Nothobranchius furzeri: one gene and its partner. The protein of the gene in region 1 interacts with the protein of each later gene in a pairwise test. Links are inferred from orthologs where the notes say so. Each region holds a gene or a part of one and is shown on either strand. Other genes may lie near its edges.

Region 1 (4,403 bases):
GCACTTTTACAGGTCGTTACGTACTTGGTTTGACAACAGAGATTTCATTTTTTTTCCTTTATGTTTTTTTTTTTTAATAAAATCAGAAAAACAAAGAGTGATGTATCCGGCTGGCAAGTGAGTCTGATGAGGTTAGGGAATGTAAACAACAACAAAGGTTATGCCGTGTGGAAGTCTTTCTGTCAACAAAGTCAAACAGTTAAATTTTAGCGAGAAATTTCGACAGAAAAGATCCTTTTTCTAGATCTCTGACCTCTACAGCGATTATTTCTAGAATTTGAGTCTTAATAAGTTTACTCGTTGTTCAGGTGAGGTGTAAACAATTAGATGAACAAAAACAGCTCAGGTGACAGTAAAGCACAGCGCTGCCAGATTTAGAGTCTGGCCTGATGCGCTGATGTGTTCCTATCAGGCAACAGGATCCCAGAGGGCCACCGATCAGAGCACTGAAACAACAGGTGAGCAGTGAAAACAAACAAAAACCTGTGGCAGAAGCCACGTATCACTGCATGTGGCAAACGTCTTCAATCTGGGTGGGGTACAAAAACTCATTCCCCACAGAGGAAGTGTCTTTTAACCCAAACAACTAACCACCTAGAAGACATCATCATAACAAGGGAAAACACCAGGTTTGAGTGAGACTAACATGCAAACAGCCAGTAATAATGATGATGCTTACATAAAACCTTTAATTATAACCACACCACAAAGAATTAGGAAAAATGCATCAAACCTCCACATCAAGACACAAAGACAGTCTTTTAAACTTCATTCTGTCCGTGAGCGATTCAATCTTCTTGTTAGGCAACAACAGTGAGACCCGATCTCACCGAGCAGCTTCTTGCTATCCTGTGATTTCACTTGCTTTTAATCCAATTTAAGGAGAGAGGAATGGAAGATACGAACCACTAATAGATGTCTCTTATGATTGAAATGGGAGAATTATTGCTTAACACACGGTGACTAGCTTGTTGGATCACTTCTAAAAGCTTTTGAGTCATCAACCCAATGTATTTAAAGGAATGTTTGCATCTGCTGCAGTGGATCGATTCACGAAACGGACTTTATTACCTAGATGAGTGAGGAAACTCCCTACAAATGATGCATCATCATGGTTGATGATCTAATGATGCAAATAGAACTTAACGCAGTTTTGTGGAAATAATAAGAATGTAAACATACAAAAGGAGTTTCAGATGCATTCCGAACATACCCATGACACCACACGTCCATTAAAACAGGGCAGCCTAGCGTTGTCGTCAGATATTTCTTCCTTTACCACCCTGCAATGAGAACAAAGCTTCTGTCAGCAAATTGCTGCCAACACAAAAGCATTCTGTATTGGAAGTGCCCATCACACAACTGGGACAACATTTGCTGTTTTACAGGTGCACTAAGTACACAACTATTACACACTGAAAGGCCATGCTAAGTGTGTTTGGGAATAACAGACAGGGTTCTGCAAAAACGGACACTAAAATATCAGAGCAGGCGGAAAAACAAAAAAAAATCTGCATGTTTGAGGCAACCAAGACTAGAAAACCCTACTAAAACAAGAAACCTGGTTTAAGCATTAGGGAATTCAGTAATCAAGTACTCTCCCAATAAATATTATACCACCACTATATCTGAGGTAATATATCGATGTTTGGTGAATCTGTCTTCGAAAACAGGATCACCTGACCGGCCTAATTTCAGCACTTTTCCATTTGTTACAAAATAAACAGCAGTTTTAGTTTTCTCTTAAATGCAAATAGTCCCAGTTTATTGCCCCACCCTAGATTTTATTCAGACGGAGGCAATGTAGAAAAGCTGGCATGAGTGGTTAAAGAAAGTAAAATACCACGTTTGGTTCTTCTTGAAAAGAGCTATCTGGAGACACAACCCGTCTACTTTTGGGGCCATGTTTAAACACAAAAGGACGTTCTCATAAAGCTGCCAGAGTGATGAACGGGACATTCCTGCGTCCAGCTCCACATTCCTCTGGCTAATAGACAACAACAGCAGCAGCGGCCTGCTGCTCAGCCTCAAATGACCGTTCAGCAGCCCTTTAGCTTACGCAGCTGACAGCCTGATGTTGCCACCAGTAACTAATAATATTTACTAGTCTTAACCATCGCTGTCTTCGGGTGATCTGCATGAGGTTCAAAAAGTCAACCGATACACGACACTGGTGCACACGTCACCAATACCAAACTTGGTCAGGCAAACCGAGTGTCACAAGCAAGCTACACAGGCAGTGTAAACAAACGAGGGCTGAAGCTGAGCAGATCCGCTGCTTGCTAGCAGCTAACAAAGAAACGGCAGTGCAAGAAGCTAGCTAATAACCGACAACCAGCTAATGTAAAAATACAAAACAATAAAAGAAAGCCGAACGATGAAACCTGCACGTTAGCAGTCATTTTTTCGCAAAATCGTTCTGAAAACTGAAGAATGCTAATGCGGATCCATCCCGGGAACGTACAATCCATTTAACATTTACCCAAAATCATCGTCCATAGATTTGAAGAAGAATTTGTAATTTGGTTTCTTGAGAACATTTTTGAAGTCTGCGAGAGTGACTTTGTCCGCCGGAACAGGCAGCTTCACAAGATACGGCGTCTCCTGGTCGTCGAGGTGGTAGATAATTTTGGTTTCCCCCATCTCGGACTGTGGTTGTTTTGGTAAGGCAGGCTGGGTGCATCAAGCCGAGGGCCTGACAGGCTCCCTCTCGGGCCCCAACTCCCCGTGGCGATGGTGGCGGCTCGGCCGTGGTTCTCCCAAATCTTTCTGGCTCACCAACTCGTTGCTAAACCCTTATTCTGCTTTTTATGGCAGCTCACTGTACGCCCGTTTTTCCTCTGCTGAAAGAAAAAACCTTTCCCTTCCACAAAGCGTCCCAACACTATCCGAAGTAAGAATTGCGTTTAATCCTGTTTGTGTAAAACATTTAGTATGCCGTAGAGATGTTTAAAAAGTAGAAAAAAAACTTTTAAAATCCTGCAAGATAAACATTATCAGGAGGGCTCTTTGACTTCTCGGTAACTGCCTGCCAACCTCGGTACTTTTTAGTTGGACACGAAACAGTAAAAAAAAAAAAACAGAAAAGGATGACTCTAACCCCATCTGAGATTAGCGCCACCTAGAGGAGAGGAGGAAAACTGCAGGGCAAATGAGGCGAACATCAACTGGCAGCCTCAAAATAAATGGTAATAAAATATATTGTTTCACTTGCAGTTTATGTATAATAAAAACGAAGTTCATCCAATCTAAGCTTTAAGGGTAGACTATGATTTAAAATGGTCACAACATTTCTATTTTTTAAATACAAAATCATAACGTAAGTATGCAACCTCTGAATATTGTTTATGTATTTAGCAGACGCTTTGTCCAAAGCGACTTGCAAGTGATAATGAAGCCAGCAGGTTGCCCTTGAAGCTAACAACAAACACTAACCAGTCAATCCTAGGTGGCAGTAATTAACACTGTTGTAAAACATTCACACGTTTGTAACAAATGCTCGAAATTTGAGGCATTTTTTTCAAGCCAAACTACTCAAAGGTGCAGTGTGTAAGAATATAGTGAGATTTTTACAGTAAGAAAATCCCAAGAGTTTATTTCTGTCATTTTGAAAGGTTCTACTGAAACATATTTAATATCCAGCTGTGGGGATTGTCAGTTTTTCTCCTTTCAAGACAACTGGAGGGACATAACTACTGTTTACCATCAGTGAGTGTGGGGTTGCTATGTCTCTCGTGAGCCAATACTGCAGCGTTAACAATTGCAATTTGGCGGCGGCCGGAATAATAAAGCTCCAGTTGTTTAAAGTGATTGCTGTAACCAAATTTTACCACAGGATGTCATTTTTAACCTCATTTATACATAATGCACCTGTAAGACCACTTGGGTCACAACCATCTTTGATTGACCTCTGACCTTCTAATATACAAAACATTGTAAAAGAAAAACTCATTTCCAGCTTTTTTGCAGTTGTTTACCAAATAGTCACAGATTGTAACGTGCCTTGAGATGACTCTTGTTTTGGCGTTGGAAAAATAAACTGAATTTAATGAATTCTAAAATCGTTTTCAATATATTGCGGGAATAATGTTTGAAAACTCAGCTATAGAAACTCCTGAGGTCACATTTTAATATGTACAGCAAGCAACCACAATTGATTTTATTGAATGAACTTTGATTTGCCATTACAGACAACACAAAGCACAGAGACAAAAAGTAAATAATATTAACTGGTGGAGTTTTCCCACTGGAGAGATAGTGTACAAAATGGAGTAAATACAATCTGTTATTTCTGAATTTAAAACTTTACTGATGAAGATCTGAGGCTGCAGTGAGTAGACATGACAATAGAACATTTTTCATACAAATACAAAAAAGGGGAAAGGAATTGGTCTCATTTAAAT
Region 2 (4,269 bases), on another chromosome or scaffold:
TTGGTCTATACTGGTTAGGCTTAAACGAGTGAAAACAAGGTCTACAGCCCTTGAGTCATAAACTTTGAGCAACTATACTGATCTTTTTATTCTAGGAATCAGGAATAACTTTTATGATCTGGTTTCTTTCTTTTTCTTCTTTGTCCCGATTGTGCCCTGAGCAATTTTATGAACAAATAACAAATAAAATCAATCAACATTAAATAATCGAGACCTCAAGTTCAGTCACAATAATCGTGATTATCATTTTTGCCATAATTGAACAGCCCTACTCTTTAGTGTTTAATGTTTTTGACGTCTTGTCTATGCAGAGCTTCTGTAGTTCAGTTGCGTCCATAGCTGCTAGCCAAACCTCAGTGGAGTTAAAGTCTCTTGTGTTTTCTGGATTTATTAAAATATCTGTCTGTACTTTTTTGATTGATGGCAGTTTTTGCTTTTTATTAGACTCCAAAAGTAATCATTTAGCATGTTCCTAAATTATAATTTGTAAGAATGTAATCAGTGATATTATCAATAGCATCCCGTAGGGTTTTTCAATGTATATTAGCAATGTGCTAACCACTCTCTGCCAGTCAAATCGCAGCCTTTGCGATTAGAAAATCTTTTTTGTCACATCACAATTTAATTGCATATAATTTCCCTACTTCAAACTAGAAGCTAATGATGGGTATATTAGAGCATCCTGGACTAATCATCAACAAAACTGATGATTAGTCGACTATTTAGTCATTTGTGGCAGCCCTACAGAAGACGACGTGAAAACATTACCACTGCTGCTGCATTGAAATTCACTAGTCTCTGGAGCTGGTCAAAACAAAGACATTCACTTTAAGTGTTCGCATATTTTGTACGTAAATGCTATTGCATGTTTGTAGTGTATTCTCCATTGATTAAATAAACATTCTGCAAGTAATTCAAGTTTCCCTGTTGTTGTCCTTTCTCTTAAAGGATACCCAAACTTTTGAGCGTTTGTGCCACTTAGAGGCCATTCTTCCTTCCCAGTAAAGCCTGACTCCGGTTTCACACTGCAAGTATCAGCGGAACGGAACAGCAGCGGAGCGGCTCACTCGCGAACTTTAAAGCGGTCCTTTTCACACCGGGAGAGTCTTGGTCGCGGCACGGCTTCCTCGCTGTGCCTCGTTGTACCCGCGAGATTCTAAAATCCCTCAAGACTTCCGACACCTTCCTCATCGAGAGATCACAACCCCTGCGAAGAATCGCACCGTTGCACTCCTCGAAAGAAACTGGTGGTAAACAAAGCTGTTCGGTCACACTTACTGACGTAAGTTATATATAACATTGTAACGTTGCATTTTATTTTGAAAATAACCGGGTATTTTACACTGAAACCGTGTGGTTTCCTGTCTCGCACTATGTGAACTGCGGGAATTGACGTGTCCCAGAAGTGGCTCCCGGAACAAATAGAACTCGATGTTGTCCTGGCAGAGAATTGCTTTGCAACACCCCTTGGGCAAACGGGGAAGTATGACAGTAAAACGCTTCTATCAATCCGTGCATGTCTGTCCCTTGTGGAGCTGACGCAGAAGCATGACTCAGGCTTAAACGCGTAGCTCGTTTAAGCTACACAACATGAGTGGTGATGTAATTTGCGCCAAATGGAATTGATAATGGAATCGTATGCAAAAATGGCAAATGATTCCAAGGAACTGCAACTGTGGGAACCAGTTCTCAACAAGAACCGGTTTTCAATTCCCAACCCTAGTATTTACCATCTTGTACTTGGACGTAGAAATGTATATATATCTCTGACCATGTGTATGAGCAGTATCAAGTAGTAAAACGGTCACTTTTAAAGGTATTGGTCATCGACACACGTTCATCCACAAATTGCTTTCACCTAATAAGTAATTATATCTGTGGAGTAAAAGCTTCATCACATAACTGGTGTTAAAACCTATAAAAGACACCTTGCTTCCATCAGTGTCCCCATGACAGCTGTGGCTGCTATGTAGCTCATCATCAACAGTGTGAAAGGGTGTGTCATGCCTTGGGGATTGTAGAAAGCGCTATATATAAATAAAGGACATTTATTCTTTGGAACTATTATGAATATAACTCAAGAATAAACGTAAGTATGCTTTGATTCAATGTAGGCATTTTATTTTTCTGGTTATGCTTTAGTTGTAGTGAACTATGAATGGATCACCTTCATCTTTGCTTTAAAGCAGCCAACCTGCATTAATTGTCTACAGTCTGTATTTCTCTGTATGAGCTGCCTTAACGAGTGGATTTTCCCACTGTGGGATCAATAAAGTATATCCTAATGTATTCTACTCCCTTATACTTCACCGTCAGTAAATGGGTAAATATAACAAACTCTCACCCAGTAAAAATGCAAGTGTTTCTGAAACCACGGTCTGGTCGGTCATTTTGCTCACAGACTAACGTCGTTTACAAGGAAAAAAGAAACAGGAACTTAAACATAGCCTTTAGCTTCACAGCTAGCGTCAGTTTCGTTGTTTTACACAGTATTCATTATTACGACGCTCACAAAAGACAACTGCTACCAAAGTCGAGCACAATTAAACTCGATTAAACTTTACAATAGCCGGCCTTTATCCTCTTTTAATGCCGAAGTGAACAGAAAGAAACGTGAAAATTACATACCCAAGTAGATGTCTCCAAATGATCCACTTCCAATTTTTCTGCCCAGCCTGTATCGGTTTCCGACTCTCAACTCCATGTTGACAAAATCTGACAGGCTAGCAACTACACTCGTTAGCTCCAATATTTGTAACAAAACTAATTTGTTCAAACGCAACACAATATTAAAAAAATATGAATCCAAAATCCTGTTTTAGCGATATATTTCGTCTTCTCAGGATTTGTGGGCTTCTTTTTCGCCTCCTTTTTCACAATATTATTAACATTATCTATAAACAATACGATGCTTGTCGGAAAGGTCAGCGCTTGTTCTTTCTGCTCCTGCTATTGTTAAAAACCAGTACGCGTTTATTTTACACGGATGAAGCTGGATTTCGAAGCTAGGTACCAGCTCCGGTACTCTGGCTTACAGATACTAGCTTAGAGCTTGCTAGGCAATTTATCGGAGGAGTTTGACGTCACTTCCTGGCAAGATGAGCGGAGAGGAATCCACCAGAGAGCATGTTAGTGAAGATACACCTATTAGTAACGTTTTGTTCCTTTGTTTGTACGGTTTGTGCAGATTAAATGTAGCAATATGAAAAGCGTAAAATAACGATAAAGCTTTTTGTATTGCAAATACAACACTCAAACATTTTTAATAGCTACTAGAACATTACCTCTGTTCTTGTTTACTGATAGAGACCAATCTTCACTAAATCATTGTGTCTGGTCAGTCACAACAAAAGATTGTTTCCTTTGTCCTCTTGGCCTCTGCCCATCATGCACTGTCCATCTCGCATGAACTTGTAAAAACTCAAATAAAATTAGGCAAGACCTAGATAGTTGTGAAATAACACCAGAAAATCTTGCCTGAATTAATGTTGAACGTTGTTGAATGTAAAAAGTTAAAACCGTAAAAAATGTCCAAGAAATTCTGCAATGGAAAAACGGCTCAGGTCAGCTTAGTTTAAGTTGTTTTTCCAAGTTAAGCTGAGATACGGCTACATGGGTGCACACCAGTCGTGTGCACATGCCCCATGCAATCTCACCCAACATAAAGTAGCGAAAAATGATCTGTAAACAGCGTAAGGGGGTCTGTATGCCACACATGGATGCTTGCTTTCCTCTTAGGTTGCTTATGAAATTATATTATGACATAGTATCTTATTTACACTATTTTATTTTCTCCTAACTTAAAAGTTATTATGCAGAGCTGTTTATAAAGTGTAGTGCTTAATTTAGATTAAGCTATAGAATGTCTATTATAGACTTTGACATTATCAGAACCATACTTTTGGTGTCAAATATAGCACTAGTCTACGTGTAGCACTGATTTTAGATGCACCCTTACAAGGGTGTCTTGTAAAATAAACTCCTTCACCCACAGCTACTGTTGTTATGAGAAGCTGCTAGATTGAACCTTGAAGTTAGAAAAACAAATTCCCAGACTTTCAGAGGGTCATCTGACTTCTGGGAGCGTTCCAGCTAATTGTTCCTACTCTGAAGTTAGAATATTCGAGTCCCCCAATGGAACACACCAATTGACTCCCTGTTGGTTTTAATATAATATAATATAATATAATATAATATAATATAATATAATATAATATAATATAATATAATTTTAAATATATTACAAGGACAATGTCCTTCCTTGGTCAA

What was found. The genes of interacting proteins can lie anywhere in the genome.
Region 2: the proteins of segment polarity protein dishevelled homolog DVL-3 (region 1) and csnk1da interact in binary tests that used the Homo sapiens proteins (3 or more experiments, as listed by UniProt). The two-hybrid records come from large-scale screens. The link is inferred for Nothobranchius furzeri from reciprocal best matches to the Homo sapiens genes DVL3 and CSNK1D.

Annotation. Positions count from the first base shown.
Region 1 is NC_091751.1:58,288,185-58,292,587, forward strand, and holds the start of segment polarity protein dishevelled homolog DVL-3, read right to left. Parts: upstream 2,865-4,403; 5' UTR 2,644-2,864; coding exon 2,483-2,643; intron 1,284-2,482; coding exon 1,214-1,283; intron 1-1,213. UniProt on the Homo sapiens protein: Involved in the signal transduction pathway mediated by multiple Wnt genes.
Region 2 is NC_091758.1:11,453,878-11,458,146, reverse strand, and holds the start of csnk1da (casein kinase I), read right to left. Parts: upstream 2,936-4,269; 5' UTR 2,705-2,935; coding exon 2,629-2,704; intron 1-2,628. UniProt on the Homo sapiens protein: Essential serine/threonine-protein kinase that regulates diverse cellular growth and survival processes including Wnt signaling, DNA repair and circadian rhythms. It can phosphorylate a large number of proteins.